Linked DNA regions of Astyanax mexicanus. The protein of the gene in region 3 purifies or fractionates together with the protein of the main gene of each other region. This does not show direct contact. Links are inferred from orthologs where the notes say so. Each region holds a gene or a part of one and is shown on either strand. Other genes may lie near its edges.

What was found. Proteins that work in one complex are often made in the same cells at the same time.
Region 1: the proteins of yap1 (region 3) and pdlim7 purify together in Homo sapiens (affinity purification with mass spectrometry; 3 studies listed by BioGRID and IntAct, with this or other methods). This does not show direct contact. The link is inferred for Astyanax mexicanus from reciprocal best matches to the Homo sapiens genes YAP1 and PDLIM7.
Region 2: the proteins of yap1 (region 3) and ddx17 purify together in Homo sapiens (affinity purification with mass spectrometry; 3 studies listed by BioGRID and IntAct, with this or other methods). This does not show direct contact. The link is inferred for Astyanax mexicanus from reciprocal best matches to the Homo sapiens genes YAP1 and DDX17.
Region 4: the proteins of yap1 (region 3) and rapgef2b purify together in Homo sapiens (affinity purification with mass spectrometry; 3 studies listed by BioGRID and IntAct, with this or other methods). This does not show direct contact. The link is inferred for Astyanax mexicanus from reciprocal best matches to the Homo sapiens genes YAP1 and RAPGEF2.

The regions. Positions count from the first base shown.
Region 1 is NC_064426.1:2,414,835-2,422,519, reverse strand, and holds the start of pdlim7 (PDZ and LIM domain protein 7), read right to left. Parts: upstream 3,010-7,685; 5' UTR 2,858-3,009; coding exon 2,837-2,857; intron 1-2,836. Other genes in the region: cltb (clathrin light chain B), read left to right, coding at 5,390-5,528, 7,622-7,671. UniProt on the Homo sapiens protein: May function as a scaffold on which the coordinated assembly of proteins can occur. May play a role as an adapter that, via its PDZ domain, localizes LIM-binding proteins to actin filaments of both skeletal muscle and nonmuscle tissues.
Region 2 is NC_064412.1:31,361,793-31,369,589, reverse strand, and holds the start of ddx17 (probable ATP-dependent RNA helicase DDX17), read left to right. Parts: upstream 1-4,788; 5' UTR 4,789-5,250; coding exon 5,251-5,306; intron 5,307-7,797. Other genes in the region: ntan1 (protein N-terminal asparagine amidohydrolase), read right to left, coding at 35-88, 184-257, 635-743, 2,239-2,304, 2,521-2,623, 2,713-2,793. UniProt on the Homo sapiens protein: As an RNA helicase, unwinds RNA and alters RNA structures through ATP binding and hydrolysis.
Region 3 is NC_064416.1:3,554,715-3,562,025, forward strand, and holds the start of yap1 (transcriptional coactivator YAP1), read right to left. Parts: upstream 3,006-7,311; 5' UTR 2,482-3,005; coding exon 2,281-2,481; intron 1-2,280. UniProt on the Homo sapiens protein: Transcriptional regulator with dual roles as a coactivator and corepressor. Critical downstream regulatory target in the Hippo signaling pathway, crucial for organ size control and tumor suppression by restricting proliferation and promoting apoptosis.
Region 4 is NC_064417.1:26,717,759-26,725,190, forward strand, and holds the start of rapgef2b (rap guanine nucleotide exchange factor 2), read right to left. Parts: upstream 3,010-7,432; 5' UTR 2,328-3,009; coding exon 2,259-2,327; intron 1-2,258. UniProt on the Homo sapiens protein: Functions as a guanine nucleotide exchange factor (GEF), which activates Rap and Ras family of small GTPases by exchanging bound GDP for free GTP in a cAMP-dependent manner.

The sequences.
Region 1 (7,685 bases), on a different chromosome or scaffold from region 3:
GAGAATGGCAGGGTTCACATGGGCATGGCAAGTATAGGTTGCAGTTTCCTAGTCAAACCTCTTCTCAGTACTCTCTCCTTCTTTCTGGTAGCAATACATAATAAGCAGGACTGAAGCCTTCCAACACTCCAACACTTAAACATGAAATCAAGAATCTACAAGAGTTAGTGTTAGTGACAAAACAGAAGAACCACATGTGTAGCACGTGTGTTACACTAGAGCACTATTAGTTTATCGTGATCTTTGAAATCTTTGATTTTATCAAATTGAAAACCTCTGGAATATAATCAAGAGGAAGATGGATGATCACAAACCATCAAACCACCAAACTGAACTGTGTGGAGAGTGGTGTAAGTGGTGCAGTGTGTAAGACTGGTGGAGGAGAACATGATGCCAAGATAAAGCATGAAAACTGTGACTAAAAAACAGGGTTATTCCATCAAATATTGATTTCTGAACTCTTCCTAAATTAATATGAACTTGTTTTCTTTGCATTATTTGAGGTCTGAAAGCTCTGCATCTTTTTTGTTATTTTAGCCATTTCTCATTTTCTGCAAATAAATGCTCTAAATGAGAATATTTTTATTTGGAATTTTGGGAGAAATTTTGTCTTTAGACTTATATTGGTGTGCTGCACCACATCAACCACTAATACCAAATTAATAACCAATTTACATCCCATTTGTGTCAAATGATTTGGAATTTAGACCCAAATTAAAAGGTTTCTCTCAGCCTGATAAAACTCACTCAAACATCTTTAATGTGTTGGAATTTAGACAAATGGACAACTTATTCTTTCTATTTTAAAAACTATTTAGAGGCTATTTTATTGCGTTTAAATGTGTTTAATTGCATTACTGCCCTACACATCTAATTACGTCTATTTGGGATTCAGACTAAATTTAAAATGGGGGTTTTCTCAGGCCGAGAGAAACTAAAACCTCCCTGATGAGTTTAAAATAGTTAAAATAGAGTTATCCCCTCATTCTTACACAATCAAACCTCCTTAATGTGTTAAAATTGGGATTTATAGACTACTCATTCTGTCAAGTTGGGTGCATACCAAAAGTAAAATGCATTTTTATCAATTTAGCATGCTTTTTATGCTAAATATGTGTATTTTTGGGATAAAGGCCTTTTCACAGGCTGACAAAACTGAAACCTCTCTAATGGGTAAAAAGTACATAAGGTCAGTCTTCTAAAAACTAAGTATGTGCCTATTTAAGTTAAGTTTTAGACTCAATCTAACACAACTCAAACCCCCTGAATGTGTTTAAGTGCATTAAGTCACTGCCCAATACATCCAATTAGTGTCTATTTGGGATTTAGACCAGATGAAAAAGCTTGTCTCAGGCTGAGAGAAACTCAAACCTTCCTAAAAACTAATGGGGGTCGTGTAATGACATGTTGGCTGCCAAGAATAATGACAATGAAGCGTAATTAAGGGTAATGACCACTTCCCGAGAGGTTCAACAGCACTGCAGCAGCCACAGTGTAAACTGCTGCATGAGCAGCTGTATGAATGAATGAAACTGTTAATGAATAGCTTGAAAGCTGTTATTATTTTTTATTTTTTTTAAGTTTTGTGGGTAGAGAAGCCTGAAAGAAGAGCATAAAGCAGATAGAAATACAGTAGGAAAGTTTAAAGCTAAATTGTAGTGCTGTAGTAATACTACTAAAAGTCTTGGTCTTGAATCAAATTAAACAACTTTAAATCCTAGAATCAACTAGTAAAAATCTTGGTCTAGATTCGCATCTGATGCGTCCCCGTCTCAGTATTGACTCAGACTGAATACTCAAAGCCTCAGTCTTGGTTCAAACTTAACTATTCAAAGTCTTGGTCTTGACTTGATTTAAATTACTAAAAGTATTGTGCTTGACTAAAATTAAACTCCTAAAACCCTTAGTCTTGACTTGATTTAAATTACTAAAAGTATTGTTCTTGACTAAAATTAAACTCCTAAAAGAGTCTTGAATCGGGCTTTTAGTTTCCCAGTTTTGTTTCAAACTCTAAAACTATAGAAAGTCTTGGTCCTGACTCAGATCTGATGTGTACTGGTCTCAGTCTTGAATTTGAATCGACAACTCAAAATCTTGGTCTTGACTCAGACTCTACAACCATGAGTCTTGGTCTAGACCCAGACTATACAACCTTGAGTCTTGGTCTAGACCCAGACTATACAACCTTGAGTCTTGGTCTAGACCCAGACTATACAACCTTGAGTCTTGGTCTAGACTCACACTCTATACCATGAGTGTCGGTCTAGGCTCAGACTCTACAACCATGAGTCTAGGTCTAGATTCAGAGACTAATTACTCAAAGACTCAGTCTTGACTCAAATTCAACTACTCAAAGTCTCGGTCTTGAATTAAACTACAAAAAAAATCCTGGTCTTGACTGAAGAATAAACTAGTAAAAATCTTGGTTGTGACCCACATCTGATATGTCGCGTTCTTGACTAAAATTAAACTACTAAAAGGCTCAGTTTTGACTAAATTGAAACTAGCAAAAGCTTTGTTTGTGACTAAAATTAAACTACTCAAAGCCTCAGTCTTGAATCAGGCTTTTTGTGTCCCAGTTTTGTTCTTGACTCAAACTCGGCTATAGAAAGTCTTGGTCTTCACTCAGACGTGATAACAGTTACTGAAGTCTTTGTGTTGACTCGGATCGGATGTGTTTTGAGTATAAAACTATGTTTCTGGCAGTTGTTGATAAATAAATCTGTAGGTTAGTGATTGTCCGCAGTGTTAGTGTTGTTAAAGCTGTTTTAAACTCCGCTCTGAGTGTTATGGTTTTCTGGTTCAGTAAGAATCTGCAGCGCTGGTGATGAATTACCTCCTTGGTGTCTCCGGACATGGTGATCAGGCTCCGGGCGGGCGGCGGGTGGAGGCTGTAGGGTAGCGGGGCTGGAGCTGTAGTGTAGCCGGGTTCAGGCTGTAGTTCAGCGGGGTGGAGGTTCGGGTAACTCCGCTCAGCAGCGCGCGCTCTCCCTCTACCACCACTTTTAGCAGGACTCACCGATACGTCATCCACCACGTGTGCGCGTGACGCGGCGCTCTCCGCTTGCCGTTATTTTTTTCCCCACCGGTTTTCCGACATGTCCCGCCCCTGCGGGCCTCTGACTGGCCTTGACGGTTGATAGCCTAGCTCTCTGATTGGTTAAAAGTTTGTACTCAGCGTTCACTACAATGCTATCTGTTTAGATAATATTTATCATTAATTTAAGATACTAATACATTATTTTTTAGATGATATTTCCTTATTTCGAGATACAAAAAAAATGTTTTGATTAGCTAGTATCTCATTATTTTACTATCTTTAGATATCTCATTATTTCGAGATACTAATGTATTGTTTTGAGATAAATTCTCTTTTTTTTAGATGCTATGGCATTATTTTGAGAAAGTAATTCATTATTTTTAGAAGCTATCTCACTAGTTTAGATGCTATCTCATTTTTTTGGAATATTAAATTATGTTTAGATATTAGGCTATTATTTTTATATATACTAAGTCATTTGAAGATGATTTTCTTACATAATGACAAATATCTTAAAATAGGGACTTTTATCAGTGCCACAAGTAGAATCATTTTTTGTTCCATAAATAATCATTTTTGTTGTATAAAAAAGTTTATATTAGTTATTAATCTTAACATTCACTTATTTAAACCTTTAAATATGAAACCTTTAACTTATACTTATTTTACTTATTTGCTTCACTTTTTTCACTGTGCAACTATGTGCAATATATACACGGCAGTACAACAGTTATATATTAACTGTCACACCACACTCATATTTCTTTTGTAAATATGGCTCTTTATAGAATTAAACATTCTTAATTGACAATATTTTATGTGTAAAACCAAAGCTGATTTTTTTCCTTAAATTAGTCCATTTAGGATTTAAAATAAGAACTCAATCCTCCCCAGTGTGCTGAAAGAGTGTGAGGGCTGATAGCCTCGCACTCTTATTGGCTAAAAAGTTTGCAGAGGCGTGGCTTTGCGTAAACGGGTGGGTAAAAAAACAAGGTGTGTCGTGCACCTTTATACTGTGAACTTCTAAGCCACACTTATACACGTATTACACACATACAGTCACGTAGTGAATCAGGAAACCCCACGAAAACCTGTCTTTTAATATATAAACCTTTTTCACAATACTAATTAATTGGCACAATAAACACATAACAGAGAAGGTAAATAATTTTATCAAAAGTATTTAAAATGAATTTCTAAAAATGAATGAATAAAATAAAACAAAACCCCCCATTTTGTAAATTGCTTCTGTATTTTTATTTAAATTGGCCTCAATTACAGAATTAATTAAGTAAAAAGTAGTTTTAAAAGTGAATGCACCTACAATGCAAGCACATGTAAAAAAGGTTAAAAAAATTCCCAGATTTTTTTTTTCCTTTTTTTGTGTTCCCCATACACTATACACTTTATGCTGAGGTTTATCTGTTCCCTACACACACTCTACAGACCAAACAGAACAAAAGTATAAACAAAAGTATTTTCCTAATGCCGTCCATTTTCACCTGACAAAAAAAAAAAAAAAAAAACACTTGAACGCATGTCGTAATTACGAACTCCAACCTCGAAAGTAGGAATTTACGAGGAGGACTTGAAGGCAGCATGAACCCGCTGATTTTGGCTGATTCAAAAATGCTAAAAAAAAATGGTAGGGGTAGTTTGGGAGGGGCACTGCAGTGATGTATGGGTTTAGGGGCGGGGCAGAAGGAAGAGGTAATTGGGCTGAGCAGTGAGCAGTGTGCCTCTGGACGTCACCAGGGGGGCGATATTATCATACTTGCCTTTAGCAAAGTTAAATATAAGAAGGTGCTGTAGATGTCGAAATGACTGCAATAAAGAACATTTAGGAAATGTTTAATCAGGAATGACATGTTTAATTACTTCAGAGTAACACATTTTAATTTTTAATAAATAAATAAAAACCGTGGTTTAGGGTTTAGTGCCTCTTTAAAGCATAGTGATAAACTCCTAATAATAACAATAAAGGTTGTGGTGAGTGTGTTTACCACTAGTTAAGTACTGTATGTGTGTTCAGTCTGTTCCAGCAGATGGAGACACAACACCATACAATCAGCCCCAGCGTTAGAGTTATACTCTCCTCTCTGAGTTCTGACCTCGGCTCTCCTCCACGTCCCTGTTTTTACTGCTTTTCTGGGACGAAAGGGACGAATTAACCTCCAGCTGACCTGGTTTAAGAGTCCGGCTCGATTCAGGAGATAAACCAACTCTTTTTTCAACATATTTATTTAACTTGTTTTTCCTGCGTTTAAACCTGAACAAAGCCACAGCTGGAGCCTAAGAGAGCCCGGCCGAGGTCTGAGGAATAAAGCAGGTGTTTTCGCCGCGGTGAAGATGGCCGACGACTTCGGCTTCTCCAGCTTCTCCAACGGCGCCGAGGCTGAGGAGGACCCGGCCGCGGCCTTCCTGGCGCAGCAGCAGAGCGAGATCGCCGGCATCGAGAGCGAGGCGGACGGCCTGGGGCCGAGCGGAGGCACGTCGTCTGTCTGGGTGATAGCGTGTTAGCCTGTTAGCTTAGCTTAGCTTGTTAACATTAGAGTCTACACAGATAAAAAGAGTCTGGACAAGGCGATACAGTTAATTTAACAAGGTATAATAAAGCGAAAACAGGATTTTAACGTTTTAACACCAACAAGACACACATTGGCTCCTTAAAAGCGCTTAAAAAATACAAAACAATTAACCAATTTCTAAACAAGCTAGCAAGCTAATGCTAACGCTAAACAGCATCCAGCTGTTCAAATCAAGAGTCAAGTCAAGAGGCTTTTATTGTCATTACATCTGAGTACAGGTACACAGTGTGATGAAATTACGTTCCTCCGGAACCATGGTGCAACATAGAACCACAAGCAATAGACAACATAAAGTGTAGGAGTGACGACAGTGCAACATAAAATTATAAAATTATAACACTAAATAACAATAAATACAATAAATACAAAAGACGAGACAATTTAAAGTCAGGACAGTGCAGTACCGATACGGTATAATAAAGTGTATAGTGAGGATAAGGTGCAGAGATGTGTGACATACTGTAACATATAGAACATATATAATCACAGCAGTTACTGAGGTAGAGTTTATAGTTTTTAAGAGTGCAGCAAATAAAGTCATGTCAGCCTCTGTGTGCTGACTGGGTGTGTGTGTGGGTGAAGTTCAGTTCTTTGTGAGTGTAAAGGGGGGGGGGGGGGGGGTGTACAGTTTAGTTTTGTGCGAGTGTGTTGGGTGAGTGGTGGGTGGGGTGGGGGTTCAGTTCTGTCTCTGTGCGTTGAGAAGTCTGACTGCCTGGTGGATGAAGCTGTTGCAGAGTGAGTTAGCAGTAAATTATTAGTTTGATACCTTGGATACAAATGTAATTTATAAAAATTGTGACGTTCTCTCCTTTTAATACTGCTTCTCTATTTATTTTTCTATTTATTGTAAATTTATGAACACTTTATTTTGTTCTGAGCTGTGATTTTAATAAAAAGGATTCGTTAATCTTGATTAATCTTGAAAATATTGCACACAAGTGTGTATAAACTAATGGGATATATACATCTCTGAAAAAAATTTAGAGAGCACCTCAGTTACTGAATCAGTTTGTCTTATTTTGCTATGTGTAGGTTTATGTTTGAATAAAATGGACATTGTTTTATTCTATAAACTACAGACAACATTTCTCCCAAATTACAAATTAACTTATTGTCATTCAGAGCATTTATTTACAGAAAATGAGAAATGGCTGAAATAACAAAAAATAAGCAAAGCTTTCAGGCCTTTCATATTTATAATCATAAAGTTTAAAGAAAATCAGAAATCAATAATCCTGGTCTTAATCACAGTTTTACACACTGCTTTTGAATAACTTTATGCCACTCTTGTTGCAAAAATTCAAGCAGTTCAATTTGGTTTCCTTTTGATTATATTCCAGAGGTTTTCAATTTGCTAAAAATCAAAGAAACTCGTCTCAATTTTTTTTCCAGAGCTGTAGAGAAAACATTTTTAGGTTTAGTGAAGACAATGGAAATGACAGTTTCCATTAAACTCCAATTAAGGTGGAATATACTAAGTGTATCTTTAGTGGTGGTAGTGGTAGGTTCTGGTAGATTCCAATGCTGTGAGCGTTTCTCTACCTGGTTAGTTAACTAGTATATTACATCTTTACTGTTAAACTTTTGGTAACATAATTACTGTAAGATTCTGGTAGGTTCTAATGTAATGATCATTTAGGGTAATACATCTGGACTGTCAACGTCCCTGGTAGAATATCCGCTGGTGTATTCCACTAGGTTTCAGTGTTTTCAGCACTTTTTATATAAGGTATATTAACACTACTTACTGTAGTACACCTGAGCTTTTAAACTTCTGTTAAAATAACGTCTGTTGCCACCTCACCGAATGAGCAAGCTGATCATTCATCTCTGGTTTACATATAGGACTCAGTAACAGTCATATAGCCGGGCAGGTTTTACAGCATTCCTCTTCTACTAGTAGTTCTTCTGAGAGGAAATACGAAAAGCGTTGCTCAACAAGACCAGAACTCACAGGATTTTACAGTCTGTCTCTCTTCTTTTCTTAAATCAGATGCGTTTGGAGAAGCACCTGCTGCAGCAGTAAACGGAGACATGTTTGAGGTGTGTTTTTATGG
Region 2 (7,797 bases), on a different chromosome or scaffold from region 3:
ATACAGACAAAACATACAGAGAATGTTAACCTACCAGTAATACAGCAGGTCTCTAAGTGAATTTCGTCCTTCTGCTTCTGAAAGGCCGCTGTGAAATAAAGGACACAAACACACTCACACTTAACAAGCCACAAGATTGTAGCCTACATGCTTTTACCAAACTGAGATTTGCACTTTACCTACCTAGTATAGTAAGGCTGAGTGTGTGGGACGTCTTGGAGTCATCATCAAACCCCCCAACAAGATGAAGCTCTAACCTGAATAAAGCAATAATACATTTAGTTCTGATCAGTTTCACTGATGTTAATAAAGGGTCTATACCACAGAAAACCAAACATGCCCCAATTTTAAAAAATGTGTAAAATAGAGCTTTTAATCACTACTAAACGCAGTTTTTGGTGTTCACTCAGTCCATACTGTATACCCAACACATCCTTTGACCTATAAGAGGTCAAAAAAGGTGTTCATTTAAGACTAGGGCTGGGCGTCATTTTAAAACATTGATATGATACCTTGAATTTGATGCAGAATTCATTACCTTTTTCTAAATTGTGAGAGGAAGCCTGAGACACTTGATGATGTGTCGACAGGAAATGAAGTGTGGCTAAATCTTTAGATAAAAATAAATGCCTACCTGCCCTCCTTTGCAGGGTTGCTTAAGGATGTGACAGCGTTTACAAGGAGAGGAACTTCGGTGAAAGTGCTCGAACCATCACAGTGAGCCAGACAAGTCGCTCCACTGCCTTTAAGGAGATGTAGGGTTGTAAAAGATCTTTTCATGCAGTTAATTTTTTTTTATTGTATTTTTACAATACATATATTAAAGAAGCTTAGTTGGGACATTTCGCTGCTCAAGTTCTCAAGAGTCTCTGCACAAATCATCTTTATACTAGGATACATACGTCTGCTATGTTCTTGCTGAGTGTGACGTGACGTGCAGGTGTTATGGATCGTGTATAAACCAATAGGATGTCAGAATGGTATATGTTTATACTTCTCATCCAACCACAATCAAATTTTACCACACTTTATATGTATAAATGGATTTATCTGGATAGGGTTCAAAACAATGGAATAAAAAAAAACAAGCTGAAATGAAATGGGAGTAACAAGGCTATTTTTAAAATATAAGGAGTAGAAAGTACAGATAATTGTGTAAAATTTAAGGAGAAGAAGTAAAATGTTATCTGAAAAATATTAATAAATAGATAACCAACATTTAAACTCAAGGAAAGTAACGAAGTAGTGCATTTTACAAAATGAGAATACCATAGAAAAGTTATTTTATTTCAGTAGTTCAGTTTAAAATGTGAAACTCATATTTTATATAGCTGTATTACACACAGAGTGATCTATTTTAAGTGTTTATTTCTTTTATTGCTAATGATTATGATTATGGCTTACAGCCAATGAAAACTGAAAATTCATTGTCTCAGAAAATTAAAATATTATATAAGACAAATTGGTACTTTTGGCAGTGTGCCCAGTGTACCAAGTTCTGCTGGAAAATGTAATTCGCATCTCTCTCTGCACTTGGACTTTGGACTTGAAAGAACACAGTGGACCAACACCAGCAGATGACATGTCTCTCCAAACCATCACTGATCATCAGTTAAATTTGCATTTCATTTTAAAATCAAGGGAGCAGAGTCTGGAGGAAGACTGGAGAGACACACAGTCCAAACTGCTTGAGGTCTAGTGTAAAGTTTCCACAATCAGTGATGGTTTGGAGAGACATGATGTCATCTGCTGACGTTGATCTACTATGTTTTATCAAGTCCAAAGTCAGTGCAGAGTTTTCCCGGAAAATCTTACGGCACTTCATGCTTCCCTCTGCTGACAACTTTTATGGAGATGCAGATTTAATTTTCCAGCAGGACTTGGCACACTACCAAAAGTACCAATTTGTCTTATATAATATTCTAATTTTCTGAGACACTGTTTTTTGGGTTTTCATTGGCTGTAAGCCATAATCATCAACAATAAAATAAATTAACGTCTAAAATAGATCACTCTGTGTGTAATACATCTATATATGAGTTTCACATTTTGAACTGAATAACTGCAATAATGTAAATTCATTTATTCTGAACATTTTTTGAGTTGAAGTAGTATAATTTGTACTTCATTATTTGTTTTACTTCTCTGTTGGATTAAGGCTCAATTTAGTAAAGGAAACCTGATCTACATTCAACTTGGCCACTTAGTGCTAGTTTCTCTTTAAAACTGGGTCTCTACCTGTGTGCCGCAAAACCACAAGGTGACATGTAGTTGCATCTCCAGAGCCAATGACCGAGACAGAACCTGTAGAGGAGACATACCTCTCTTCAGAACAGGAGATAGATAACTACAGTAAGATAAACACAGTCAAACTGTAGAGACAGACTTCAGAACAGGAGATAAGTAAGTTTAACTACAGTCAGATAAACACAGTTAAACTGTAGAGACAGGCTTCAGGACAGGAGATAAATAACTACAGTCAGATGAACACAGTTAACCTGTAGATACACAGAGACTCACTGTCCGCCGGTGTCGTGGCTGCGAATTCTCTCTGCTGAACGTAAAGGAGGCGCTTGGGCTCGACAGTCAGAGCGGGTCTGGACCGGAACTCTTTGGCGTTTTCCTTTAAGAAGCAGAAGCAGGTTTTAAACACTGGGATCTGAGATCTGTTACTCGAGCTGAACTGCTGTAAAGCGGAGAAACGTTACTCACCTTTAGATGAGAATATCTGAGGAACAGGTCTGTAGTTGAAGTCACGCGCTCGACCCGTCTGTTCTGAACCAGGAGGGGCATTTTAATATTTTAATCCAGTCGTTAACTCAACATGAAGCTCTAAATAAAGTTCAGCATTACAGAGAACACACTCTCCTCACTATTTAACTAGAATCTGTAATACAGTACATCCAGACAGCCTGAGAGAACCGGTGTTCTGTCCAGTTATGATACCCATCGATACGTGCTTCCTAAAGGCACTGCACATGCGCTAACCTACACTTTTTGATTATTTATCGTGTTTTTTTTTGTGCATTAAACAAATTGAACTCACTGTCATTGCAAAAAAGTGTAAATGTAAATTAATAACAATAATGAATACAATAATTATTATAAAAAATACAAAAGCAGTTTGTAATAAGCTCTCGTTGCCATAACTTTACCATGACACAGTGATTTATGCTGTATCCATAAATACTAACGCAACATTTACTGGGATACATTCCTACTGGGAACATGCTCTAATATGGGGCTTCTTTATTTTTACAGTTAAATATACACTTGGGTAGCGCGGTTTGACAAGGTAACCCAACTCGACAGAACACCGGAGCACTTCCTGTATTTTCACTTCAACGTCATGACCACACATCAAGAGACCAGTGTTTTTTTTTATTTAGTTTTTTGGCCAAAATTGTGTTGTTATAATAGATAGAATATACGTGCAGAAGGGATAACAACAATAAAATGATATAAAACATGAATTTAAAAATAGTTAATAAATTGCTACTGTTTTATAATTTTGTACTTTTTTGCTTGTATTATTTTTTAATATGATTTTGCTTAATGCATTCTGTGTAAAATATGTTTTCATTAACCGCAACTGCGCAGATTTCTTCAGTCTACGCAGGAAATATACGCGCAGTCTCTGCAGAGCTGGTTTATGAAGAGAGCACCCACTTCTTATCGCTACCGTTATAATCACAGAGAATTGCTGCCCGCCGTTAGGGGGAGCCCGCAAGAGAGTCCAAAATAAGTGGAAGATAATGGAGCTAAACGGCTAAAAACTCTGATTACAAATAGTACATTTCCGCTTAGCCAAGATATTGCTTTAAATTTGAAACGTAGGATTATGTATTTTACTACTAAAGCAAATAATACACGTCTATTTTTCAGTTTTTCTACAGTAATAATATTTTAGGCAGTAAAGACGCTAGCATTATTGCTACTGTGAGCTGACTGGTTGGTGAGCTAATACTGGAGTTACAGCCAAAACATTTTCTAAAAAAAGTGGAGTTTAAAAGCTTTGTTCTGTGTTGGGAAAATGAGTACATTTTAGTATAAAAGTTGCTCCATATGAACACATTCATTTTGGACCATAGACTCTCTGTTTTGGACTCACTCAGGAGCGCCCCCTGGTGGTCAAACAAGCCTGGAGGAGATTCTGAAGTGAATTTTCTCCTCTCTATAGAATCTCTGGTATCTGCTGGTGGTGTGCTGCTTTCGTACGTTACCCGTCGCAATCTGCACCCTCTAGGTTTCGGTCTGGGCGGGCCAAAACACCTTTTAGTTGTCGCTTCAAGAATTTGACTAATTTTACTATATAAAGCTCATCTCATTTATCTCATATAAATTATTAAAGATAACGTGCTGACTGAACTACCTTCAACACACCTGTTTCACCTGTAAACACAGAAATGACTCAAATTAGTATTTTAATTTCTCTTACTGTTGCCCTTCTTGATGTTTATCAGTTTCCTCCCTTTAATACATCGTTTCCTCAATTTCACAAGAAATACTCTTTATTTGAATAGTCTTTCCCTCAGATTAGAGGGAAAACAATTTTCTAAATTTAAGAAATTGTTGATTAATTTGGGGACATTATTTATTAATTATGATAAATATTATCTTATATTTTTCCTTGATAATTTAGAGGTTCAGTAGTTCGCCTTTTAGAGTTAGGATGTTTCTGTGACAACAACGACAATATATAATCGACACAATTTTGAGTCAAGCGCAAACAACAGCCCTCTCATTGGGTCCTAGGGGTGCAGTTTGTGTCGGGGTGCGGAATTCGGCACCACACTGGAGGATAGGGGGCGGGTCTTCGGCCTTCAGCGAAGCAGTCGGACTCTGACAATTCGACGAATTGTTTATCGAATAAAGTTTACATTTAGATCAATTTTATTTGAAGAAAATCAAATAATTCGGTTGGTCGGTCGTTATTATTCGTGCATTGGTCGATTTTAGACTTGCAGCCGGATTTTCTGAGGAGCTTCACGATTGAGACTGTAGTTAATTTAGAATGCTAAGCTAACAGTTAGCAAAACAACAACAAACACAAACCCAAACCCGAGTTCTCAGCTAAAAGTTGAGCTTATTTTTAAGTTTATTCATTGTTATCACTTATAAAGTGATATTTATTATTTTTCTAGTTGGTTTACTGAATAATTTACAGTATAAAAATATCAGTCGTTTAGTGGCTGGTTAATTAGTTAAATAGTTGCAGTGTAAAGTGGAGTTTGTGTAAAATTCTGTAAAATGAGGGGAAGTTCCTCGTATGGCGATAGAGACCGAGATCGTGGACGCGACAGGGGGTAAGAACGAGTTTCTGTGATTTAGATTGTTTGAGTATTTCCGTTTCTGAATTTCCAAATAACCCCAGTAATCTACACAACCTACAGAACTGTATTTGATGTAGTCTTTAGTACGAGGCTGAAGTTGGTTTGATATTCGCAGCTCCAGATTCGTTTGGCTCGATATTCGCAGCCTCGTATTCCCCGGCTGAAGTTGGTTTGATATTCGCAGCTGCCGCTTCACTGAACCACCGTGAACTAAAGGGAGCGTTCACAAACACCCGCTGTTTATATTAAACACCTCACAGATCAACACTGAAGGAGATAGAATGAAGAAAAGCAGTACATCTGTTTATTAACAATGTAAATATACAATATATTATTAAATATAATTTTGTATATTGTAAAATATTTGTTTTAATTACTGAATTTATAATTATATATTACAATAAATAATTAAATATATATTTAATATAATTATATTTTAAAAGCCATTGCGCTCAAAAAATATGAGGCAGATGTTCAAGTGTGATTTTGAAGAACTTTTTCATGTTGGGCCAGAACAAATACACATGATCTGAAGAGTACTAGTCTTCTACTTTAAGAAAAACCTGGAATTAGCCTGGCCCAAGCTGATTTTATACTTTAAAATGAACTGGCAACATAGCCTACCAATCCATAATGCACAATTTTTTTATGTAAAGCTGATGTTCTAGTGTAATTTTGAAGGACTTTTTCATCTTGGGCCAGACCAAATACACATGATCTGAAGAGTACTAGACTTCTACTTTAAGAAAAACCTGGAAATAGCCTGGCCCAAGCTGATTTTATACTTTAAAATGAACTGGCAACATGGAATACCGATCCATAAAGCACAATTTTTTTATGTAAAGCTGATGTTCCAGTGTGATTTTGAAGGACTTTTTCATCTTGGGCCAGAACAAATACACATGATCTGAAGAGTACTAGTCTTCTACTTTAAGGAAAACCTGGAATTAGCCTGGCCCGAGCTGATTTTATACTTTAAAATTAACTGGCAACATGGCCTACCGATCCATAATGCACAAAAAAATTGAATATAAAGCTGATGTTCTAGTGTGATTTTGAAGGACTTTTTAATCTTGGGCCAGAACAAATACTCATGATCTGAAGAGTACTAGTCTTCTACTTTAAGGAAAACCTGGAAATAGCCTGGCCCAAGCTGATTTTATACTTTAAAATGAACTGGCAACATGGAATACCGATCCATAATGCACAATTGTTTTTATGTAAAGCTGATGTTCCAGTGTGATTTTGAAGGACTTTTTCATCTTGGGCCAGACCAAATACACATGATCTGAAGAGTACTAGTCTTCTACTTTAATGAAAACCTGGAATTAGCCTGGCCCAAGCTGATTTTATACTTTAAAATGAATTGGCAACATGGTATAACGAGCCATTTTGCACAAAAAAGCCACTGTTCCAGTACAATTTTGAAGATTTTTTAAATCTTGGGCCAGAACAAATACACATGATCTGAAGAGAACTAGTCTTCTACTTTAAGGAAAACCTGGAAATAGCCTGGCCCAAGCTGATTTTATACTTTAAAATGAATTGGCAATATGGAATACCGATGCATAATGCACAATTTTTCTTTATGTAAAGCTGATGTTCCAGTGTGATTTTGAAGGGCTTTTTCATCTTGGGCCAGACCAAATACACATGATCTGAAGAGTACTAGTCTTCTACTTTAGGGAAAGCCTGGAATTAGCCTGGCCCAAGCTGATTTTATACTTTAAAATTAACTGGCAACATGGCATACCGATCCATAAGGCAGAAAAAAGTTTAATTTAAAGCTGATGTTCTAGTGTGATTTTGAAGGACTTTTTAATCTTGGGCCAGACCAAATACACATGATCTGAAGAGAACTAGTCTTCTACTTTAAGGAAAACCTGGAAATAGCTTGGCCCAAGCTGATTTTATACTTTAAAATGAACTGGCAACATGGAATACCGATCCATAATGCACAATTGTTTTTATGTAAAGCTGATGTTCTAGTGTGATTTTGAAGGACTTTTTAATCTTGGGCCAGAACAAATACACATGATCTGAAGAGAACTAGTCTTCTACTTTAAGGAAAACCTGGAATTAGCCTGGCCCAAGCTGATTTTATACTTTAAAATGAACTGGCAACATGGCATACCGATCCATAAGGCAGAAAAAAGTTTAATTTAAAGCTGATGTTCTAGTGTGATTTTCAAGGACTTTTTAATCTTGGGCCAGACCAAATACACATGATCTGAAGAGTACTAGTCTTCTTCTTTAAGGAAAACCTGGAATTAGCCTGGCCCGAGCTGATTTTATCCTTTAAAATGAATTGGCAACATGACATGAAAGCCATTTTGCACAGAAATAATGAATATAAAGCATTGATTTTGAGAATACCAGAACTCTTCATCTGATGTGTATTTGGTCTGAAAAAAAATCCAAAATCATACTGGAATATCAGCTTTAAATAATATTTTTTTTGTGC
Region 3 (7,311 bases):
ACTTGCAATCGCTTACAGTATCACAATATGCTGTAATATATTAAATCATAGTCCCTATATTGTGATTTTTATTGTATCGCCAAGCTCTTGTTAATACACAGCCCAAGTATATACAGCTCGGGGACAAAATAAATAAATAAATAAGAGGACACTTAAAAATTAGGAGTTTCTTTGGAATATAATCAAGAGGAAGATGGATGATCACAAGCCATCAAACCACCAAACTGAACTGCTTGAATTTTTACACCAGGAGTAAAGCAGCATAAAGTTATCCAAAAGCAGTGTGTAAGACTGGTGGAGGAGAGAGAACATGATGCCAAGATGCATGAAAAAAACTGTGATTAAAAACCAACCAGGGTTATTCCACCAAATATTAATTTCTGAACTCTTAAAACTTTATGAATATGAACTTGTTTTCTTTGCATTATTTGAGGTCTGAAAGCTCTGCATCTTTTTATTATTATTTCAGACATTTCTCATTTTCTGTAAATAAATGCTCTAAATGAGAATATTTTTATTTGGAATTTGGGAGAAATGTTGTCTGTAGTTTATAGAATAAAACAACAATGTTCATTTTACTCAAATATAAACCTATAAATAGCAAAATCAGAGAAACTGATTCAGAAACTGAAGTGATCTCTTCATTTTATTCCAGAGCTGAATTTATATATATGACTTACGAGATCAGATCAGCTGTTTTTCTGCTGTAAGTCTGAACTGGAGCTCTGTTAGTGTATCTGTAGAGGAAGTGAGTGGAGATATGGAGGCGCAGGGTTTCCTGCAGTGATCTGATCTGCTGAGAAGAGGAGGAGGAGGAGGAGGAGGAGGCTGAACTGGATAAATCTCAGCCCAGTAGGAGGAGGAGGGGTGAGCATGCGCAGAAAACACTCCCAAACTCCTCAACACAACACTAAATCTAATACTGCTATTCTACACCTCCCTCCTTCATTCAGTTCTCATTTAAAAACACTAAAACAACCAAATTATATCACTCTCTCAATTAATATATGCATGGGTTTAGTCCGAGTGTGTATAAAACACATTTAGCTTATATAAGAAAAAGAAAGACTGTCTGTAGCTGTAAACTCCAAACTTAAAATAAAGTGTTTATAATGCTTCAAGCATGTTTTTATCTATCTGGAGTAGGATTTTAACAGTTTAAACAGTGTATAATTGTGTTTTTAAGCTGTTTTATGAGTTTATATTTAGTTTTAGGCTGTTTATATTGGAGTCTGGAGTGGGTTTGTAACAGTTTAAACTGTGGTGAAACATTTTAAACAGTGTTTTTAAGCTGTTTATAGTTAGTTTTATGCTGTTTTTACCTGCCTGGAGTGGACTTAACAGTCTAAACTGTGGTAAAGTATTTTAAAGTGTTTTTAATCTCTTTTAAGTGTTTTGTACTTAGTATTAGATTGTTTTTACCAGTCTGGAGTGGGATTTTAGCAGTTTAAGCAGTGTAAAAGTGTGTTTCTAAGTGGTTTTAAGTGTTTTATAGTTAGTTTCAGGCAGTTTTTACCCGTCTGGAGTAGGATTTTAACAGTTGAAACTGTGGTAAACTATTTTAAACAGTGTTTTTAGGCTGTTTTATAGTTATTTTCCAACAGTTTAGCAGAGTTTTAAACCGTGTACAAGTGTGCTTTAAGCTGTTTTAAGCGTTTTATAGTTAGTTTCAGGCTGTTTTAACCTGTCTGAAGTAGGATTGTAACAGTTTAAGAAGTGTTTAAGTATGTTTTTAAACAGTTTTAATTGTTTTATTTCACTTGGGATTTTAACAGTTTAAGCAGTTTTAAAGTTAGTTTTAGTGTGTTTTACCTGTCTGGAGTGGGATTGTAACAGTTTAAGCAGTTTTAAAGTTAGTTTTAGTGTGTTTTACCTGTCTTGAGTGGAATTTTGTAACAGTTTAAGCAGTGTATACGTGTGTTTTTAAACGGTTTTAAGTGTTTTATAGTTAGTTTTAGTGTGTTTTTACCTGTCGGGAGTGGGATTTGAACAGTTTAAGCAGTTTTATGGTTAGTTTTAGTATGTTTTTAGCTGTCTGGAGTGGGATTTTAACAGTTTAGGCAGTTTTAAAGTTAGTTGTAGTGTGTTTTAGCTGTCTGAAGTGGGATTTTAGCAGTTTAAGCAGTGTGTAAGTGTGTTTTTAAGCAGTTTTTAGTGTTTTCTAGTTAGTTTAAGTGTGTCTTTACCTGTCTGGAGTGCGATTTTAACAGTTTAAGCAGTGTATAAGTGTGTTTTTAAGCAGTTTTTAGTGTTTTCTAGTTAGTTTTAGTGTGTTTTTACCTGTCTGGAGTGGGATTTGGGCTCTGGAGGTTTGAAGAAGGAGTCTGGGAGTTTCCTCATGCGCATGGGGACGGACGGGGGCACGGCGGCGTTCTTCGGGTTCATCACGGCGTTAAACAGCGCCTCCAGGTCGGTCTCCGAGTCCCCGCGGACGTGCACGATCTGGTGCCCGGCGGGAGGGTTGTGCTGGCCCGGATCCATAACTGCCAGAAGATTAGGACCAGCTGTAAAAAGCTCCAGCAGCGGGAGTGGAGGAGTGGAGGGGAGGGGGAGCAGGCCTGGAAAAGTTTACTAAAAGTGTAAAAACTCGGGGAAATTCAGCCCGTAAACTCCAGAAACGCGCGGAAACACCGAGATAAAGGTCCTCCGGATCCGGTCCGCCCGGGTTTACCCGAGTTCTGCTGAGATAAAGCCAGAAAAACACTGAAACAGAACCGAACTCAGAACCGCAGACTCGGACTCGCTGCTGCTGCTGCTGCGGACTCGCGAGGACGCGCCGAGCGACGCGGGCACGCGCATATCTCTCTATCCAGCAGTTACTGCGTTAAAATCCAGTTTAAAAAAGTTTTAAAAGTATAAAAACAGCGAATTAAACTGTATTAAAGCGTTAAAATAGTAAATATTCAGGCTGAAAGTGGTAAAAAGCCCGGAGTCTCTCTTCCTCTCGGCTCCGGACATCAGGACTCGGTTCAGTGTGAGACTAAATCACTGCTCTCCCAAACTTTACTCCCAACTTTCTGGGCAGGACTTCAGGAACTCCGAGTCACTTCAGGAGTCGACTCTTCACAAAAAGATCCGGTTCAAAGAATCGATTCGGCTTGGATTTACAAATCTACCAAACGTCCAAAACAAATAAAATATATTATTCCAGCTGCCACTTAAAACTTTCTGCCTAATAAATTAAAATTTTTCATTTTATCACCATACAATTAAAAATAAGCGATTGGATAGAGGGATGAAAAAGTATTTTTACTTTTATTTGCAGTAACTGCTCTTCTAGGGGAATATTCGTGTTCTATTAGTTTCACTGTTTTTTGAGATATAATGTTCAGTAATCAGATAAAAAAATCAGGTAAAATTATTTTATACTCAGATTTACTACAGTGATGTGCGTTTATTGGTAACACTCTGTTATACATAGGATTCTCTTTTTTATCTACTTAGTAGTAATAAAAGCTTTTTGTATGTACTTCTCAGAGATGTAGATTCAGAGAGAGAGAGAGAATAAAAATTAAATTGTTCGTTTTTCATCATGGAATATTACTTTCATACAATTTTAAGCATATTAAAGCATATTATAAATAACAAAACAATAAAATAAAATATATCTCAAATAAAAAACCTTAAAGATTAAAATGAAAAACAATGTGTAAAAAAGAATATATAAAATATAAAAGGTTAAACACACAAATACAAATGAAACGTTTAAAATTAAATTGTTGGCTAAAATCAAATAGCTGTTAAATAAAGGTAATGGACTATTAAATTGACTTATAAATGCTTTATATACCGTAAAAGTAAGGAGATAATGTATTGAATTGAGGAAGTTATTTATTAAATCAACGGAGAACATTTTAGATTCAATTAAATTTTAATAAATCAGTTGATCTCATTTTATTAAACTAAGGGAACTTTTTTAATACTATTAAATATTATTTTATACATTATTTTTATTTTTTCTTAACAATATATATATAAAAGTCCCTCCTGACTCCTGATCTGTTTTTTGTTTTTAATGATTTTTACTTTTTCCAATGTTCATTGTTCCGTTTTTTTTTAGTTTTTTTATGGATACTTTTATTAAAAACACCTTTTTTTAAATCATGCTGATTATTTAAATAATTTATGCATTATTTATTTTTGTGAGAGTTAAGGGTCATAAGTTTCTTTTTTTGTCTTTCTATATATATATATATATATATATATAAAACACATCAACATTCCCTTACACTCGTGAATCGGTTCAAACGAATGATTCAGTTCATGGATTTTGACTCTCACGTGACCGCTGAGTTAGAAGGGGGCGGGGCTAAACTGGAGCGTTTAAAGACTCCACAGGCTGTTGTTTATAATTTCTTATAACTGCAGCTAAAATTAAACTTATCCAGTTTAATTATCTAAATATTCTATTTTACTTACTTTACTTTACTTATTTTAAACTAAAATAGCGATTAAACAAAACCCAGCCATGTAACAGGAGTGTATTTTGTTATCCTGTTACCTGTTGCTTCAACTCTCTTAAAAAAATCTCTAGAATAACATTAAATAATAACAGAATAACAGAAAAATAGTATTTTACACTGATATAATGAAAGTGTGGTGATTTTCTGGTGCAGTTTGTGCTTCAAATGTTACCAAAAATCAAATATTTAAATAAAAAAAGGGTAAATATTCATATACCTGTATACTTCTAAAAACCCTAAATTATCAAGGGAGAAAAATATAATTTTGTGGCTTTAACTCTAATGATATAATAACCTACTTTTAATTAAAGTATGTTGATTTTCTGGTGCAGTTTGTGCTTCAAATGTTACAAAAAATCTAAAGCAAAAAAACAAACAAATAAATAAAAACAGATTTTTAAATAAAAAAAAATATATATACATAATTTTAAAGAACATAGTTAGTGCTTTATTTTATTTAAAAAAGATATATGTTTTAACAATAAAAACTCAACAAAGGGAAATAGCTGATATATTGTCTATTTTTCTGGATATTTTTGTTGATAAGACTGAATTTTAATAGAAATCAACCTCTTTACAATATGTGAAAAAAATTGCCTTAATTTGTTTTATTTTAAAAGTCTTCATAAATGAAGAAATATAAATTATAACAGTTAAGAAAATAACTGATTTTACTTAATGAATAAAATGGTTGATATATTGTTTATTTTTTGTATATTTTTGTTGGAAGGACTGGAATTTAATTTTAGTAGAAATCAAACTATTTACAATATGTGAAAAAGTGCCTTATTAAGGTTTATTTTATTTGAAAAGCCTTAATGAATGAAAAAAAAAACGTAAAAAACTTTTAAAAACATAAACCGTGTATGTATATTTGTATGTATAAGTGATGGTGGGTCACATGGTCTTACATTTGCAGAACAAAGCTTGTGTTAAAGCAGAAAATCAGAGTTTTATTCTGATTTTTATTGAGTTTTATAGAGTTTTATGTGAATTGGTGCTGCATGCAGGCTGGTCTTTGCTCTCATTCACCCAAAATAAACAGAGCTCTGCACTTCAAAGCCGCCGCTCTTTAAAAATAAAGAAATAAATGGTTTTTCTGCCTCCGCTGTGCTCCATGCTGTTCCCATGATTGTGATGCTAATCCCCCTTCCCTCCGCTTTCAGAAATCGTTTTGTAAAGAGCGAGCCAGGCCGTCTTCCTGAACCCTGAGCCGGGAGAGAGGGTGTATAACTGTAGAGCGTGAAGAATCCAAGAGAAACTTTACTTTTATATACTTTCAGTTCTTTTATTCTCTTCGTCTCTTCAGACTCTCTATAAACTGAAGAGCTGAAACAGTGATCAGGATAACTAGAGGCCTGACACCTACCAGACCTGCCCCAGTCTATAATAACTTATCCTCTGCAACAGAGGGAACTCTTACTCTTCCTTTCCTGGGGCGGTCCTGATGAGTGCCAGTTCCATCATAACGTTTTTGGACGGTCTTTGCGGTGACTGCACTTAAAATGTTTCAAATGTATCCTTCAGGCACGTTACAAACAGTATTAGACATTATCCTGACGTATAATTTCAACATTCAACCTTAAATTAACATTCATTGATGTTAATCACTCAGTAAAACACTAATATCCTCCTGAGACCTGGAATTTTACTTAAATTTCAGTCCTACATAGTAACTGAATAGTGAAGTGATGCAGACTATGAAGGAACACATAAAGAATCATGTAGTAACTAAAATAAGCTTTGACCTTATCTAGGACCCTTGTGAAAAAGCTGTATATTTAAATATAATCATAGTGTACTTGAACTATATGCAGATAATTAAAGTATATATATATATATATAAAGTATATTTCAGTATACTTTATTTGGCTGTGCTAATTTCGTACTGGTGATGTACTTAATACAAAAAAAAAAAAAAAACCTTAGTATTATTTTAGAAAACTGCTTCTTATAATAATACTACTTTTACTAAATGTGCCATAGGAGCCTTTATTTCTGCAATAAAACTATACTTCAGAGAAATTTGTTAGCAAAACATATATTTTTTGTTGCTCATACAAATGAAAACTGTGCTGATTAAACTTTTATGTCTTAAAACTAGGCTTAAAAAAAAAGTTCGCTTTAGTTGTGTGTAATTAAAATAACTTTATCAGCTAATTCTTGCAATGAGATATGTTGCTTTTGTTTTTCAAATGTGATGTTAAATGTATACTTTAATTAACTTTTTCACACAAATATACTTAAATTGTATTAAATATCATTATATATAACATACACATTTACATTACATACAGTCTGTTTGGCCAAGGGCTAATAAACATTGCTTCATTTGTAAATTTGAAACTAAACAAAGTTTCTACTCATATCTTGAGTTTAATTCATTTTCTTTTACATTTTATTAAAAAACTAATAAAAAAAAGAGTAGCACTTTTTTGAAAGAAATGTAACATAAGAAAGGTGAAGGGCAAATATTAACCATGTAAGCTGTTTATATTGCTTGCAATTTAGGTGAAGCGAGCATGTGTAAAGCATTTTAATGTAAAATTGCTTAATTTTGCAAATATATGAACATCACACAAGGGTTAAGTACAGACCTATTTTAGCATAGTTTAAGTATAATTCTTTTCACAAGGGGAGGCTGGTAACTCTGGTGAACTTATCCTCTGCAACAGTGGAAACTCTTGCTCTTCCTTTTCTGCTGCGGTCCTGATGAGTGCCAGTTTCATCATTTTAATGTTATTGATGTTTTTTGCGATAACTGCACTTTTTATTAATATTATTATTTTTTTAATTAATATTAATTTTAGTTCTTATCTTGTAAGTAGCAGGTTTGTTAACTCAGGTA
Region 4 (7,432 bases), on a different chromosome or scaffold from region 3:
CACACAAATCCTAGTATCTTTAAAATAGAAACTTTATAGAAGGAGGGAGGATAAAGAAACTTAAATAAAATATATTAAAACAGTAAAATTATTTTATTTCAACTTATTGCTATATGGCGTCAAATGTGTATATTTTATTGAAACCAAGGAATTCTATACTCGCTAAGATTAACTCCCCAATCAGTCAAATTATTTAAAGTGTAAACATGTAGTGAAGAATATTGTTTGTTACATTCTGTGAAACTGACAACAATAAATCAATAAATCCTGGTATTTGCCTATTTAGGAGTATTTTATCTTCTTCAGTAACAAATATGCCATGAAGTATAATAGAGAATACTCACACGGTACATCGAGTATTGCAGAATCACGGTATTGTGATACCATTGTTATTGTGGGGAATGGATTATGAGAATATTACATTGTGAGATGCCCTGTGATTCCCGCAACTAATATATATATCAGAAAATCAACTAGAGGGTGAAGATACTACTATTGTTTCTGAAAGAAATCCCAATATTTCTTCGTCTCAGGCTAAACAATCCACACTCACAAAGGCCTCCCCCGCTGACCTTTTTCACACATCGACTGTCAAAATCTCTGGCTTTTCCCACCTGTCACCCACAGCCTGCCACAGGGGAACACGTCAAACCAGCACACTGCATTAAGAGCACGGACATTTCCAGCGCCCAATAAACCATGGCATTGTTTAGTCCACTTAATTCAGACCAATAAATGCAGGGGATGGTATCAGATCTCTGACAGACAGAATAACCTATGGCCCATCGCCACCAATGTCTGCTACAGCAGCATTTAATTGGTATTGATTGGGGAAGCCTATTGTTGTCCAGATCGGTGAATCGCAAACCATCACAGTCAATGCAAATAGAGACAATTACAGTGCCAAAAAATCCACCACTGTCATCGATTCAAAGCTGTTGCTATGTGAAAAAACAGTAATAAGGCTGCTGCTGCTGCTGCTGCTACTGTTCATGACAAAGGATAGATGGGGAGGATGCTGTGGGTGCTGGGGATGAAAGGGATGCAGAGATGCTGGCTAGGGAGGACAAAATAAGAAGAACAAGTGGAGATATAGTGAAGTATAGTAATGACACTTATATTCAACACTTAACACTTAATTCGCCCAATAGCAATGCTAAAACATACATGTGACTTTCACATTAAAAAGAACATGGACATGTATCAGACTCATTTAACCCACTCTAGGGGTGATTGGAAAAGCCTTGTCCTTCAAAAATAAAACGAAAAGGCAGCTTCCATCATTGGTGTAAAATATTATGTCAAATAGTCTAGTCACAATAATGATGTCATCGAGTTTTCATACAATGAATGAGAATGGGAATGATCTCAACAAATATTGCTCATCTCAATATTGCCAATGATCTTTTTTTTGGCAAGGGAGAGCCAAGATCTTACTGTGAATAAGACTTTGTTTAAAAATTGCTGCTTTATTATAACAGTGTTTAATTTATTGAGGATACTTAAAAAATGAAATTCCATTGCCAATGTCTAAATATTCTTTACCAATTACAAATATTCATTGATTTTTAAATAGGTGTAATTGCACTAAGTGGCCTTAAAATGACCACAATGACAATGACAATATAATGATAATACATTGTCCGAAAAAAATAGCTACAACAACAAGCTGTTTTGTTATCATTTTATCAGTGGTATAAATAGAGATGCACTAAAAAAAATCCTTGTTTTCAAGATTTTCAATTGATCTGCCACTTCTTTTTTTAACAGTGCATAAATTAAATAGTGTCAGTAGCACACAATGGTATTGAAATGACCGTAATGTTGTTTATTGCAGGTATATCTGGAACAATATATTGGAATAGCCTAAAATGAGAAGAATATTGTTTATTGTTTAATTAGAAAAATATCCTTTATTGCAATAATTTATAGAATTATAGATTGTAATGGTTTAAAATGAGAATAATATAATTATTTCTGGAATTAAATATTGTCCAGATTTAACCAAATCATGATGACAGGCCTAATCTTAATAGTGATGGTGACAGAAGGTAACGGGAATAGGTTACAACCGCTACCAGCAGCTTTACAGCCAATTACCAGTCTAACACTAAAGAGAACATAACACTTAAGCCTCAGACAGACAGACAGCTAGCTGTTAAACAGTGTAAACAGTGGAAATAGTGGAAATTGAGTCACTATAAAGCAGGAGCCAGTGATATAATGCCTATGTAAAAGGCAGCAGGAACCGTTCTGACCTGTTGCGTCCTTTCAGCCGGATTCATCATGACCGCCTGCCGAAAGCTGTTATCCACGTATGAGGCCATTGTTTTGCTTTGTTTGGGATTATTCTGTACAGTTCAGAGTCTAAAATCCAGTCGGAAACTTCTTCTTTCCTCCTCCTGTCTTCGTAAAGCTCACGAGAAAAACAGCTCCGGTAAAAGCTTCAGCAGTAGAGGCGGCGGAGCGGCAGCAGTGCCCGCCCGTCTCCTTCTCCTCAGCGGCCGCGCAGACTGACTCCCTCCCGCCCTGCCTGCCCAAGGCCCGAGCCCAGGGCTTTCCTCCTCCGCTGCCCGGTCCCGACCCTACAGCGCACCGCTCTGGGGCTGCTCTTTGTGACGGAGCTAACAACAGGCAGGTAGGCGAGCCCTCTGAAGTCGCAGCCCGGCCAGGGTTCACTCGAGAGGGGCTGACAGAGCCGCGGAGCCGCGGTCACTCGTACTCTCCCCGTTCCTCTTCCAGACGCTGGAGAATAGGCATTTTCCTAACACTCCTTCACCCCGCTCAGCGCTTCCATTTCTGGGGGGTTTCCATTTCAAAACCACTCAAAATTAAGTACTAAAACTCCGTCCATTCCTTCTTTTCCTAAAATAAACGATGTTTAAACACATTAATCAACAGACGCGCTGTTATTTTATGCTGAAATGAAAATAAAGGTTTGGACAAACTGTCTGCCGTCTCCACTGTTGTATCCCACCCCCACCACCACCATGGTGACCGCCCCGGGAGAGCGGAGCTACATGGGCGAGTCCATTCCCATTCAAGTCACGGTAGCTCAGAAGCTCCACAGCCGGTTTATGGAGAGCCTGCCCACTCTCTATAATCTCCCCGTTATTACAGAAAACTACTGAGAACCACTAGAGGGAGCCCGCGAGTGAGTCCTCAACGAATGGGAATGAATGGAGCTATACGGCTAAAAACACAAATTCAAAATTAGTAATAAACTATTTGCCCAACATTTTCTTTAATTTTACAAAATATACTGTAGTATTTTGCTAAAAAGTGAAGAAAACCTGGTTATGTATTTTCGGTTTTCTACATTAAACAGGTTTTAGAGGGTACAGACGCTAGCATTATTGCTACTAGTGCTAACTGGTTGGTGAGCTGAGAGATGTAACAGCCAGTGTAACCTTTTTTTTTAGCCCCGCAGGTGCTGAAACCCTATTGCAATTGCTAGAATTTTTTCTAATCAGATTTGAATCACTTTCATGTGTGGTCCTAAATCAAATACGTATCCAATCCATGGACATGCGACCTGAATGTAACCTGTCAAATAGGAAAAGCACGCCACCTGGCCTTTTTTTCCTCCTCGACCTGAGCATGTACTAGGATTCAAGGAGATTTTATTGTCATTCGCACACATGTGGTACATGAGGTGGAACGAAATTGTGATCTCACGATCCAGTTTTACACCCAAAGAGCTGTTATTAATAGATATATAGATAAAAAAAGAATACAATAAAAGAAATAGAATATACAAAATAGATAGATAAATATCCCAAGAATAAAAAAAATAAATAGAGAGTAGAAAGGTTCAGCAACATGAAGTCCAGAGTGCAAGTGTGCTATAGCAGCATGATAATGTGAATTAGAGCAGTGGAGATAAAGTGTCTCAGTGCAAGTAAAGTGACCATGTTGGTAAACAGTAAACAGTAATTTGTCCTTGGTGTCAGTGCAGTGTGTTGTTAAGTGGAGTTTAAGAGTCTTACAGAATCCGTGTATCATTCGTTCATTTGATATTCAATTGAGAATCAAAATCGGAAAATTAAAAAACCAATTCGTTTTTTCGTTTTTTCGTTTTTGAATATAATACCAAAAAACGAATAACGGCTTGTATTTTGTATTTTTATTTGGTTATCCAAACAAAAATTGGAAATTTAAAAAACGGACCAGGAGCCGAATTTGATTTTGATTTTGAACTTGACCCATTTGTGTGCCCCGGAAGTTACCGATTTGTTTATTCTTGGTGGGTTTCTGTTGCGCGGGAGTTCACTGCAGTGTTATCTACACAGTCTGTATTGCTGTAGGCAGCATGGCCGGACTGGAACCACATTCTGGCCTAATTAAAGATCTTTTTGAAGGTATTAACTAAATATGACATTTAGCTACGGAACGTTAGACAAACACCTGAAAGATCCTGCCGATTTTTTCTGTTGTCATATCGTCTTCTTTCACTGCAACGCGTTTAGTTCCTCTGAACAAGATAAAACTCTCCATCCTCAACTCCATCCAAAGCCTACAGCAATACAGACTGTGTAGATAACACTGCAGTGAACTCCCGCGCAACAGAAACCCACCAAGAATAAACAAATCAGTAACTTCCGGGGCACACAAATGGGTCAAGTTCAAAATCAAAATCAAATTCGGCTCCTGGTCCGTTTTTTAAATTTCCAATTTTTGTTTGGATAACCAAATAAAAATACAAAATACAAGCCGTTATTCGTTTTTTGGTATTATATTCAAAAACGAAAAAACGAAAAAACGAATTGGTTTTTTAATTTTCCGATTTTGATTCTCAATTGAATATCAAATGAACGAATGATACACGGATTTTACAGCTTCCGGAATGAAGCTGTTTCTGAGTCTTGTTGTTTTGCACTTAATGCTCCGCAGCCTCCGGCCTGAGGGGAGTGGGACAAAAAGTGCATGTGCTGGGTGGGTGGGATCCTTCCTGATGCAGGTGGCCCTTTTCCTGCACCTGGAGGTGTAAATGTCTGTGGTGCTGGGGAAGCTAACTCCAACAATCCTCTGTGCAGCCTTCACCACCCTCTGCAGTGCTTTCCTGTCTGCAGCAGAGCAGCTTCCATGCCACACATTGATGCTGGAGCACACGACGCTCTCCACCACACATCTGTAGAAGGAGGTGAGGACTACGCTCCCGAGTCCAGCTCGTCTCAGCCTCCTGAGGAAGTAGAGCCGCTGATGTGCCTTCCTGACCAGAGTGGAAGTGTTGTTGCTCCAGGTGAGGTTGCTGGTCAGGTGCACACCCAAGTACCTGTAGCTGTCAACCACTTCCACCGCAGATCCTCCAATGTGCAGGGGGAGGTGGGCATGCTTGCCCCTTCTGAAGTCCACAATCATCTCCTTTGTCTTTTTTACATTGATGCAGAGGTTGTTTTCTCTGCACCAATCCTCCAGGTGTTCCACCTCCTGCCTGTAGCTGGACTCATCTCAATCTCATCTCAATCTCATCTCACTACAGACCATATACATAATATAAAATTAACTAACTAACTAACTAACTTACTAAATTAATTAATTGATTAATTAATACATAAATAAATAAATGAAACGGATTTCATAGGTCTCTTTACAATCTGGCAAGTCTGTTTATTTAATTTCTGAGCCGCATTGTGTTACTAAGCAAGCGTTTGGTTTAAAATGTTTAGATATTAATGATTGAAGCTCAGATTGGACTGAGAAGTTCAAGGCTGAACACAAGCGACTTTGATCTGCGATTTATCCTCAACTTATTTCACAAATTTTACTCATTTTCACTCATTTTCACTCATTCTCACATTTCACTCATTTTACAAATTCTTACACTCACTACATTTCACACATTTCTCACTTATTTACATTCTCACACATTTTTACTCATTTTTTTTTACACATTTCTCACTAGATTTTACACATTTCTCACTCATTCTCACATTTGTTCCCTCATTTCTATCAGGGCTTTTCTCACCATGTCTTTTCCAGGTTTTTTTTCAGGGCTGGAGCTGCTGGACTACCTGGACTGGCTGGAGGAGCACCACCCCATTTCCCCAGACCAACCGCTTGTGTCGTTTTTTACTGTAAGAAACAACTTTTCTACACTAATCTCACTAATCTTATTTTCCCTTCTTTAATCTGGTTCTCTTTGTACATATGCAGCTGTACCTGACTGATCAGTAAATGAGTGGAGATGGTTTTGAGCAGCACTGATGAGGTTATTTGTGTTTTTCTGTTTATTTGCAGGCCTGTTCTACCCCTCTTTCTTCCCGATCGAGTGGGAGGACAGGGTCGAGTACTGGGTGTGGCGTCTGCGCAGCCATGCTGCACACCTGTGCTTCGTGGAACTGACCTGGAGACTCTGCTTTTTAAATAGACCTTTTTAAATAGACCTTATTAAAGATTATAACATTTCAATATTATACAATGAACAATTAACCATCATTTTTCTCATTACATAGATATAAAAAATAACATTCAAATACAATAAATTCAAAAACTTTCATTTCTTACTGTACTTTTTTATTTTAAATAGTCCAAGGATTATGTTCATTTTCGGTTGTCTTTAGGTTTGCCACATCTGCCTGCAGACAGCTGGATCCTCCATCAGACAGGGACAACGAGCACAAGGGCCCTTGCATCGTGCTCACAGAAGAGGACTGGGAACCACCACGCAAGAAACAACTTTATTTTTCTCTGTATGTATCTCTCTATTTCTCTTTAGTTTCCTTTACATTTTTTTATTTTTTTAAATGTTCTTTATATTTTATAAAGTTAATTAATTATTTTTAAACGACTTATGTTTAAATATGTCATTCTGGTGATTTTACAAATAAATGTAAATATTATTAAATATATATATATATATATTAAATATAATAATGTCTAGCTTTTTAACATTAAACATTTAAAGTTATTATAATGTAAAGTTAATATAAAACATTAAATTTAACCTTTTTACGAGCATCTTTTTAACAAACGTTGATTCCTTTTTTGTTGTTATTGTTAGTATATATTTTTTCATGCTAATATTAACAAACTTTTTTTCCACCTATATATATGTCTCATGTCTTTTATATCTCTTTCCTGTTTGTACACGTTAGCTACTTAGTTGTGTGGCATTATTTCAGCACTGATACCAGATATACAAAACGCTCAACTTTAGCCTTTTAAATATTGCTTAGTGTACCTACTTCCAAACATTACAGGAAGGACATACATTTACTTTTTACCACAAGATTTAACATCAGAATGGCCTACAGAGAAATCAGGAGTGAAACACAGGAGCTAGTGAAACACAGACACTATATGATGGTCATTTCTAAAAAGAATAGGCAGATTACACAAGCCATTAAAGATACAACTCACACCATACTTATTTTTTCACCTTAACTGCTTCAATCCTGTTGTCTCATGCAAATAAATTTGAGATGAGTCC